3 linked regions of the Sus scrofa genome follow. The protein of the gene in region 1 purifies or fractionates together with the protein of each later gene. This does not show direct contact. Links are inferred from orthologs where the notes say so. Each region holds a gene or a part of one and is shown in the gene's direction. Other genes may lie near its edges. The genes, in order: EPC2, ING3 and MBTD1.

Region 1 (3,655 bases):
ACTATAGACTTTTCTTCTAATTTCTCTCGGACCAATGCTTCCAGTAAACATTGTGAAAATAGACTGTCCCTTTCTGAAATATTAAGCAATATCAGATCATGTCGACTACAGTGTTTCCAGCCAAGGCTACTAAATTTACAGGACAGTGATAGTGAAGAATGTACCTCAAGAAAACCAGGGCAGACTGTGAATAATAAAAGAGTTTCTGCAGCATCTGTAGCTTTATTGAACACCAGCAAGAATGGCATATCAGGTAAGCTGTCACTTTGTTAAAAATATATTCTTCTATTCTCTTCTCTATAATTTTTATTATCTTCTAAGTAGACTCCGAGGTTTTATTTTGAAGGTTTATTTTTCATGATCCTACTGAAGAAAGGAATTATATCTTAATTTACTAGTTTTTTTTTTCTTCCAACCTAAGAAACTAAACTATTATCGTAGATCACATTTTAACCAAAATCAATTTATCCTAATTGATACCTGTAAAACCACTGACTTGTATTTTGAATGTGTGTGCCTGATATGGTGAATGTGTAGGCAAAATGCATGGGGAATTCCCAATGGGCAAAGTGGTTATAAGCTGCTACCAGGTTATCATAGCACAATGTTGTCTACTTTTGTTAAAGAAAATTTTCATTTTATTGTATTAACTTTGCTTAAATGTAAGCATTGCTACTCAAGAGTACCACTGAAAAGCTTTCTTTCTGAAAAATGATTTTTAAAGAAGCTCCTTTTGATAATTGTACTTGTGGTCTGATAGCTTACCTCTCTAATTGAGATTGGAAATTTTTTTTCATTTTAAGAGACTGTACTCAAAATAATGTAATAATATTAGACATTGTAAATAGTGTATAATATATAGAGAGTCTTAAATTTTGATTTGTTTCCTTCTTTTTGTCACATGTATATAAGTATGTATAATTTATAAATGTCTTTATAATGTATACATTGCAAAAAATTCATGGTATCCAGAGGCAAAACTATATGTGATGACATAAACAGTTGATATCCTTTCTTTCTGTAAAACATATATATTTCTAAATTATTTACTGGATGGTGCAGTTTAGTATGCAAAATCATTATGTTAAACTTCTTCAAAGTGAATTTAAATCATTTTAGCTTGAAATTGGTCTCAATAATGTTCAGTCTTTTTAAATTACTGAACTGTTTATTTTCAAACTTGACTTAGACATTTATCTATTTAAAGGTTGTAATGGAAAATTGGATTTGTTTGAATGATTGGAAGTTGGCATATCATTTCTCCAAATTAGTTGGTTAATTTTCTCCCAAACGAATTTAGGTAAGGAAAATGGCATCCCGTTATATAAAGTTCATGAGTCTGTGCAGTTTAATGAGCCTTTGAAACTGAAATGGATAAATACCTAGTATGATTTTGATGGTAGGATTCTTCGAAATCTAAAAATAGTAGGAAGTTGACGAATATTAGGTCAAATCTTTTCTTCAGCCAACTCCAAGACATTGTTCAAATTAACTGAACTAGAATTTCTGTGCCAAAAATTACAATAATTTTTGCCAAAAAGGGAATTTAAAAACATCACGTATAGGCATTTATAATTAGACTTGACTATAGATTTCTTTCTCTACCAGTGTATACCATAACAAAAAGGTGATTTTAATGTGTCCCGTCTTACCTTGAACATGGCCAGATATTTGCAGCTTTCTACTATATGTTCCTGATTCATTCCAGATCTGTTTGACTTGATTCTTTTCCAGAAAATATATGTTTTGTGTGTTATTGTATCAGTACTCTGTTTGTATGGATTCAGAATGTAGTGTAAATAATTCTATAGAGTCAGCTCCAGAATTTTATGACGCTTCTGCACATCAACATAAAATAAGCATTGAAAGTATTATTTTAGGCATGCATGCCTTTCTCAGGGAACTTAAATCACAAATATGAGATGCTAGGGGTTCCCATCATGGCACATTAGAAACGAAGCCAACTAAGAACGATGAGGTTTCGTGTTTGATCCCTGGGCTCGCTTAGTGGGTTGAGGATCTGGTGTTGCTGTGAGCTGTGGTGTAGGTCGCAGACGCAGCTCAGATCTGATGTTGCTTGTGGCTGTGGTGCAGGCCTGCAGCTGCAGCTCTGATTGGACCCCTTGCCTGGGAACCTCCATAAGCCACAGGTGTGGCTCTAAAAGAAAAAAAGATATGAGATGCTAATGTCATAGACAGTAAGAATTTTTAAAATTTTTGCCCTTCCCTTGCCGTTAGAAAAAAATAGTAGTTTTGGTCTGTGCAATTTTTCCTGCCTTAGGTATATTATATAATAGTACTCTGTCTCAATTTACCAGCTCCTTCTTCTCTTAAAAAATTTCAAGGCTTGAGCAAGTACTAAGCTACATTAGAATCAATATTTTCAAATCAAGTCCTTCAAATAGATATTTAATATTCCGTTACTAGTGTAAAGGATTTTGTTTGAAGTTTATTTGACACTCTAGTCATTGAGGGTTTTTTTGCTATTTTAGGGCTGCACCCTCAACATGTGGAAGTTCCCAGCCTAGGGGTCAAATCAGAGCTGTAGCCGATGGCCTGTACCACAGCCACAGCAACGCAGGATCCAAGCCATGTCCACGACCTACACCACAGGTCACGGCAGCGTGGGATCTTTGACCCACTGAGCAAAGCCAGGGATCGAACTATGTCCTCATGTATCCTAATTAGGTTTGTTAACCACTGAGCCACAAAGGGAACTCACAGGTGTTTTTGTTTTTAACAGATTTATTTTGTTTCAAAATATTAAGCATGATGTGTAAGTATATAATGAAACAAGTCCTTTAACAGCATTTTTGTAGATAACTGAAAAGCTGTGGCAGTTTTAAGTACTCATCTGTACCAATTACATTCATTACATAGTTTCTCAGTTTAAGTGGATTCAGTTATAGTTCAGTAATTATTGGTAGAAATTCCTTTTCTACCTAAAGAGGATATAGGAATTTTTAGAAAGTTACATTTGTATATTTGATGGACGTATACGAAAGAATTGAATCTTCGTGTATTTGGTTTCTTTTTATCTATGTGTCTTTAACGTTTTTGCCTTCTGCTTATTCTCAGGAGATCATGCATGTCTCTAAGAGTAACAAGACTGATAAAGGACCATACTTTTACCTAGCAGAGAGTGTCACTAAGCTAGACAAAATATACGGAATTTTCTGTTTCACACCTGGGAAATCCCAACAAATAAAGGGTTTAATCAGAAATAGAAAGATGATACACTTGACAGTAATATTTATGTGTATCACAGGTTCCTTCATTCTTTTAAAAAACCCTTGAGCATGAGGGCTCATGGCAAAGAATTGTCTTACTTTGATGTGGTTATTTAATAACCCAGTCAATGTTTTTAAGTCATAATCCCTGTGTCCTGAATATATTCTAATTATTATTATTTTTAATAATCATATGAGTGGACTTAAAGGAGAACAAATTGAACTGAGTGTCATAGGTATTAGTAAGAGCTAAAACTAAAGACTTCCTTTTAAGTGTTCCTGCTGTGGTTCAGTGGGTTAAGAATCTGACTGCAGTGGCTCAGGTTACTGCAGGAGTTCGGGGTTCAATCCCCAGCCCAGCACAGTGGGTTAGAGGCTGCTGTAGCGTAGGTCGCAGTTGCCACTCAGATTCAGTCTGATCGCAG
Region 2 (3,738 bases), on another chromosome or scaffold:
AGGGCTAAATATATCACAGCTGAACAGACGCGGGGAGGAGTCGAAGATAGAAAAAGACAACGCCCTGGACTACAGACGTCAAATACAGGCTATTTACTCAACGTAATTATTGTTAAGTTATTGCTAAGACAGACAATTAGATGGTAAGGCTCCACCCGTTATTTCTGTTTGCTCACTTATTAATGTTTCGGGTGCAGGTATAGCTATATAGATCAATTACATTAGAACGACTAGATGGACTGCAAAATAGAATGCAGTGGCTACTGAGAACCATTTGTGCATCTTTTAATATGGTAAATACATAATTCACTCAATATTCTGAGTGTAAACTGTTTTAGTTCTATGTCAGCCAACCAGATGTCCCATTTATATTTTTAGGAGCGGATACGGAGGATAAATTCCAACAGTGAGTTCTGTTTTGAACACTTCCAATTGCCCGAACTTTGCCGATTATTCTAGCGTTAGAACCCTTGCCGTTTGCCTCACACTACTTGAAATCCATGACTCATAAACGCCAGGACATGGAATTGCGGCAGTAAAGAACAGGTGAAAAGTTGTTCCTAGTTGTGTTCTGTAGGCGCATACAACTCCCATCACTACCCGTGCAAAAATCAACAAATAAACAGAGGCACCGCATTTCAGATTCTGCTGCGCACCGTTCGCAATGGCACCTGGTTTTTGTAGTTTGCAAGGGGAGGACTACCAGCGTGTTCTTTCTTGCTGGGGAGGGACGAAAACTACACTTCCCACAAAGGCGCGGGGGCGTGCTCCGCTCGGCTTACGTCACCTCTTCAGCCAGCCAATGACCACTCCGGGCGGCAGTGAGGCAGGCGCCGTCAGGCGCCAAAGTGGGTTTTTTTTTTTCTTTTTTTTTTTTTTCCGCCGAAGCCGAGCGGGTGCTGCTAGCGGAGGCGCCATATTGGAAGGGACAAAACTCCGGCGACAGCGAGTGACACAAATAAACCCCTGGACCCCCTCGCTCCCCCAGCTCTAAGGGCCGCGATGTTGTACCTAGAGGACTATCTAGAAAGTGAGTGGGCGGCGCCGGCGGGCCCGACTGGGGGACCTGAGGGCGGGCGAGAGCAGGAGTGGACGGGCTGGCGGGCTGGCGGGAGGGAGGGGGAGGCGGGGGATGTTTCTTTCTCACGGTAACTGGCAGCCTCGTTGTGGGCTGCCGGCTCCCTCGCGCCCCCCCCACGCACGCACGCACGCACGCACGCAGCGACGTCGGCGCGTACTTTCGCCGTTGGCCCCGCCCTTCTGACTGACTTTCCCATTGACAGTGATTGAGCAGCTGCCAATGGACCTGAGGGACCGCTTCACGGAGATGCGCGAGATGGATCTGCAGGTGCAGAGTAAGTCGGCGCGTTTGCCCTTGTTCGCTGCGCGCGTTCAGTGCCAGACTTACTTGCCATCGACGCCAGCACCTCTGCTGTTTGACTCTCCTCCGGCTCCCTCGCTAGTACATCATAAGGAGTTGTCAAAAAGAACCGGCAATGCCGAATCTTGGCTCTTCTGTTTCCCACGCTACTTTTCTTCTGGCTTTTACAAAAGAAGGTGGCATCAGAGCACATGTGCACCTTTTTTTTTTTTTCGAATTTGAGACTGTACAATAAAAGTTTCTGTACCTTCATTAAGAATGTAGACATATGTTTTAGTGAACGTTGGCATCAATGTTGCGAAGACTTTGACTTGAGACTTCACGTATAGAACATAGCGGCATTTATGTATTTGTTAAAATTCATTCTAGTCAAAATTCAAGAGAGGAAATGCATATGGAAGCACAGGTTATATGTAGTTCTTTAGAGACCCTGGTGAACTTAGAATGTCCAATTTGAAAAGTTACACATTATAGGATACATTCTCAATTGTCAACAGCATGATAGTTTCTCAATCAAACATGAGAAAGGAAATTGGATTTTACTGTAAAGCTGCTTGTCTACTGTAACAAAAACTTTGGCTTTTGGTCTTTCAGTTATACTTTGTTAATCCGAAGACTTTTTCCCAAAAATAACTTGGCCCTTTCATAGAGCAGTATTTAGTTTATAGGATCATTTTTTTTCTGTGAAGTTTCTTTTAAAGAGTTTACGATTCAGAGAAGATAAAGAATAAATACCTTTATAAAGAATAAAAAGATAAGTACAGGAAAATTACACTTCAAAACAAGAAAACAGTGTTGAGTGCCAAGTGTACACTCATCATGCTCTGAAAGAACCTCACACACCTTTCCCCTTTGTGAAACGAATATAGCTGTTACCACTGTCTTGTAGAAATCCTATATTAAAAATTAAGAATGTGAATAATGTGATCCATAATTAAAATGTTTAATCAAGTGTACTTTGTTGGCTGTCTGTCACTCTTGTTTGGAGAAACGTAAGTACTGTTTAATTGCTTAAATAATATTAATGGCTGGCCTTCATAGGGTATATCTGCAGAGATAATGCCATTAGTTATGCTGTAGGCCACAGGGGAAGTCTAATAGGGTATATCAACAGAAGATGTTTCCTGATCACATGTATCCCATGTTTAGACTATGCATAGGATATTTCTTGTGCTGACAGATTTTCTTCTCAGAGAAGTAAGGCTGGGGGGAACATCTGGGTTTGGGGATGTGATAAGGAGGAAAAGAGTATCATGGAAAGAGATCAGAGAATAGAACCTTTCAGAGTGTGGTAGTCTTGAGGTAGCCCCCATCCCCCACCTCCCGCCTCCCTTCTCTGCCCCACCAGCACCACACATACTTCCATACCCATTGTTCACAAATATTCTTTTCTCAGCCTCCTGCCAGTTTCGTGTGGTGCATGAAACAAGGTAATATGTCTTGGAAGCCACCTTCTGTTCAGTGGATTGTAGTGTGGAAATCTGAGTTGTGTGTTTCTCCAGCTTGCTCACAAAATTCATTTTAACTTTAATGTATTTGAAATGCTAAAGATTTGCTAGAGAAGTGTTTTGTATAGGCTTGAGCATGGATTTTGTTGTCCAGCAAATCTGAGTTTATTTTAGAGCTTTAGAAACTTACTCATTGACCTTGACCACATTGCCACTTCTCCGGGATTTATTGTCTGTAAAATGAGAATCATCATGAAGATTAAAAATAATAGAGATAAATTAGAGCATATAGTACCTGATACAAAGTGAGCATTCAATAAAAGGTAGCTATTATACTTTTTCATGATTACAAATTTTTAAGTTCTTTAGTAATCTGGACTTGAATATGTAAGTTAGAGTTTTTTTTAAACTTGAATTTGTATAATAATTGTTTAAAGTTAATAGCTATTATAGATTAACAAAAGAGATCTCTGTCAAATAAGTTAGGAGATGGACTGTTACGCACTGAATATCTCAAAAATGATACAGTAAAAAGGTTTTCCTCAATTTGCAGAGCAACAAAATCCCTTTTGTTTATTTTTCATTTTTAAATAGACATAGAGCAGAATGACTATATTTAGCACACATTTCAGGAAGAGCTTATCTGGAATAAATAATATTATGCATTAAGTGAATAAATGATTAATCCCTGCTTTCAGTCATGATGGGAGATGATGGGCTACTTAATGGTACATAGCAAGAGGTTGAAATCTTTTTATCTCATCCCTTATTGAAAGAAATCCAATGAGAAATTGTACTTTGGCACATTTGGCTGACTTAGTAACATTAGGTTTTGACCCCAAGACTGTACTATTCAGCAGCTATAATATAGCATCTGTCTACACTGTTGACTAGTTTGACTATCTGAAA
Region 3 (3,655 bases), on another chromosome or scaffold:
TTGGGACTTCCCATGATGACTCAGTGGGTTAAGAACCCAACTAGTATCCTTGAAGATGTCGGTTCAATCCCTGGCCTCGCTCAGGGAGTTAAGGATCTGGCGTTGTCGTGAGCTGTGGTGTAGGTCACAGACGTTGCTCGCATCTTGTGTTGCTGTGGCTGTGGTGTAGGCCAGCAGCTCCAGCTCTGATTCAACCCCTAGCCTGGGAACCTCCATATGCCACAGGTGCAGCCCTAACTCTGATTTTTTTTTTTTTTTTAATCTTTTTTCCCCCAACATAGGAAGCCACAGATTTTTTTTCTTCATGAAACTTGTGGAATATTTTGCTCTGAGATATGGTTATTTTTATTTAAAGTTTTTTTTTTAAGTAAAAAGTACATTCGAGGATTAAAATTAAAACAGATTTTTCCAACTAACTTGCCCTATGTTCAAGGATCCCCTGTGGCATATGGAAGTTGATTGAACCTGAACCACAGCAATAACCTGAACCACTGCAGTGACAGCACTGGATCCTTAACCATCTGTGCCACAAGGAAAATCCAGCCCTTATCTTTTTGATCATAAATGTTTGTTTATAATTTCTTCAGTGAGAAACCTAACTTCTAGCAGCCAGTGCAGTGGTTCTTTGGTTTCCTCCGCATAAAAAACCCATATCAGCCTCACAGTAGTGATAACCATCAGGCCCCTAACCCTCTCTTTCATATTATAGACATAAGCCTCCTACAGTCCCAGAATTGTTTTGCCACCCAGCTGCTTACCATGTTTGATCACTAAGCTTTCTCTAAGGCTGAGTAGTACAGGCCGCTTTGGCCTGTCTTTTCACATTTTATTTGATAAGACTTTGAGATATCAGGATTTTCTTTCCATAATGTGTGGAATTTCAGAACATTTTTTATTACTTAGTAACTGTGTGATGTATGTTTTTTAGATCTAATTTCTGAGCATTGTATGCACAGATCGCATACCTCAGTTGGTGTAACTCTTACTGGGTTTGTGGCTTATGGGGTGTAATGATTTTGAATGAATGGGCTAGGGACATGGGAAGAAATGTGAAATTAATAAAGTGGTAATATCATTATCCTAGTTTTTAGTGATAACAGTACTAGATTTCAGGATTAGCTGAAAAACTGGATATAGCTACAATATGATGTGTCCTTTAACTTTTAGTAGCTCTTAATATTATGACATCATCTCCAATGCCTTTAAATTGTCCTTTGGACATAAAAAAGAACTGTGGACCCACAGTCCCTTATTAGAAATCCTTAGGCCAGATGTGTTTTGAAATTTAGAATTATTTGGATTTTAGAAAAGAAGTACATTGTTTGTAGCATATATTATGTAACATCCCTTGTAGGCTCTGCAGCATTTCCCAAAGCAAAATATGCATAAATAGTTACATTTAATGGGCTAAATAAAGGTTATAAATAGTATACCAAGTAAGGTCTGGTTTTGTCGCCAAAGTTGTGCCGAAAAAACTTTGAATTTTTGGAATTAAGGATAAGGAATTGTAGTTCTGTGTGCATGAAGAGGCAGTCTTCTTGTAAGGGTACTCTTTGCTCCTTTAATTTTTTTTTCACATTACTCGGCAGCAAGTAGTTTATTACAACCTTTTCACACAAAACTTTATTTACCAAAATAAGAAAGAATTGGGGGGTCCAAGAACTTAAGTCATCCATTGTATGCAGATTTATGTCAGACAGGCTACAAAACCTATTTGGTTTTAAGGTTGTCTACAGATTATTATATTCTGGTTCTGTTGTTTCATCTTTGGTCTTACTGTACCTAAAATCATCCGTCAGTATATTCTTTTGGTAGGGCTTACTTTTTACAGAAATAGATTGGCTTCATTGTCCTAGCTTGTCTTTTGATTAGCTGTGTATGAACATGCTTTATAGCATGAGGGGATAACTATTAACCAGTGCTGTTGAGAAATAAGAGTTACGTTCTGTCAAGAGGATCATTGTATGCAAGTCATCTATCCAATCTGAAAAGCCTTTTTTTCCTCAAGGTTTAATAATTCTAGAGCAGGAAAATCAACACTAATTTCTGTACCATCTTCAGGGGCTTTTGTAAGTAGTAGAAAGGTAGAAACTCTCCTGGCATTTTTATCTCCAAGTGTGTGGTACATTAGACTCTTGTCTACATGATTGCTGCAAATGATTTTGGTTTGGCAGTTGAGAATTAAATGTGTACTCATAGGAGCTTGGTTTCCAGATCATTTTACATAGGAATACTGTCTGACTTGTATTTATCTTTTTAGTCCTAATTTTGCAAAGCATAATTTCTAATTGATCCTGCCTGGGTCATTTGTAAGAAAAAAAAAAAAAAAAACACTCTTAAAGAAAACATGTAATTTATAGTCACAAAGCTATGTAAGTATCCTTCAGCTTTCAACCTATTAATGCAGAATGCTTGTTTATTCAATATTCGCAGAGCTTAGATTATTATTTGTTGGTGGTGAAAGCATTGTGTAAGTCTTCGAAGGTTTTTGTGTGCTTATGAAACTCTAATGAAAAGTGTTTTAGAAGAAATTAGATTGCTTACAAACATGCAGTCAACAAATGTTTAAACTTTAGAACTGCTTTTCAGATTAAGAATTATGACTTTCCTGAAAGAGTGGATTATAAACCGAAAGTTAGAGAAGTACATTTCATATCAGTAAAGTCCTGCCACGTGTCAAATACATTTATTAAATTGTTTGATTTCTCTCTGAAGGACAGTGTTTGTCTTACATGGGCAGCCACTGACTTTGGCCTGCAAGTAGGGTTTTTAAACCCTCTCTCTTCTAGTGGATTTTCAGTCCCCTCAAATTAAAATTTTCCCAATTAGCCAGCTAATTCTTCACACTCAGTGCTCTCTATAGTTCATTTTGCTTTCTTTTGTTTTCAATGGAGAGTCAGGATCCAGGATTTGGACTTGCAGAGACTAGAAATAATCACCTGTCATCCATTCCGCAGCCCACGCACGCACACATACATGCCCACCCACCCCTTGGTTTTAGAAATGCAAACCTTGCATAGTTGGCTCTCTTTTCAGAGTACCCTATGCAATGCAGCCTTTCCTAGTTATGATGCACTTTTCTTACCACACATGTAAGTAAAAGCTTACTTTAGTTTGACTTGATATTTAGAGAGGAAGATGCCAAGTGGGAAGAAGCCTGTCAGTTTGTCGAGCCTACCCATGACAGGTGGGCTGCGGAGGAGCTTCTCTGGTGACGAAGAGTTGACTCCTCCTCCATATCGAACCCTTCCAGCACAGACAGCCTCGGAGGCCTTCCCACCTCCCCGCACTAGCCGAGAGTTCAGTCCCAGCCTCAAAACAGGTAATTAGTCCCATCAGCACCTCAGGTACTGCAGAGGGTCAAGGTCTGGGTTCGGGTCGGGGGAGCGAAGGCGGGGGAGAGAAGGCATGGTCTGGCGTGACAGATGCTGGCTCATTAAATTTTTCTTTTTCTTTCAACTGAAAATTTCATTTTCACTAGTTCTTGATAGTCACTTCACTAAGATGAATCATCAGGGAAAGACTTTTATTTTGTTATAAGCCACTTCTGAGCTTCAAATTCAGATAGAGCTGTAATTTCAGTTTATGAAATTGCGAGACAGCTTATACTATTTCATGGTCTCATTAAAATAGTTGAACATCTTCCATTGTAGAA

The links.
Region 2: the proteins of EPC2 (region 1) and ING3 purify together in Homo sapiens (affinity purification with mass spectrometry; 3 studies listed by BioGRID and IntAct, with this or other methods). This does not show direct contact. The link is inferred for Sus scrofa from reciprocal best matches to the Homo sapiens genes EPC2 and ING3.
Region 3: the proteins of EPC2 (region 1) and MBTD1 purify together in Homo sapiens (affinity purification with mass spectrometry; 3 studies listed by BioGRID and IntAct, with this or other methods). This does not show direct contact. The link is inferred for Sus scrofa from reciprocal best matches to the Homo sapiens genes EPC2 and MBTD1.

Annotation. Positions count from the first base shown.
Region 1 is NC_010457.5:3,432,095-3,435,749, reverse strand, and holds part of EPC2 (enhancer of polycomb homolog 2), read left to right. Parts: coding exon 1-253; intron 254-3,655. UniProt on the Homo sapiens protein: May play a role in transcription or DNA repair.
Region 2 is NC_010460.4:25,973,629-25,977,366, reverse strand, and holds the start of ING3 (inhibitor of growth protein 3), read left to right. Parts: upstream 1-867; 5' UTR 868-1,002; coding exon 1,003-1,030; intron 1,031-1,283; coding exon 1,284-1,355; intron 1,356-3,738. UniProt on the Homo sapiens protein: Component of the NuA4 histone acetyltransferase (HAT) complex which is involved in transcriptional activation of select genes principally by acetylation of nucleosomal histones H4 and H2A.
Region 3 is NC_010454.4:27,460,169-27,463,823, reverse strand, and holds part of MBTD1 (MBT domain-containing protein 1), read left to right. Parts: intron 1-3,130; coding exon 3,131-3,322; intron 3,323-3,655. UniProt on the Homo sapiens protein: Chromatin reader component of the NuA4 histone acetyltransferase complex, a multiprotein complex involved in transcriptional activation of select genes principally by acetylation of nucleosomal histones H4 and H2A.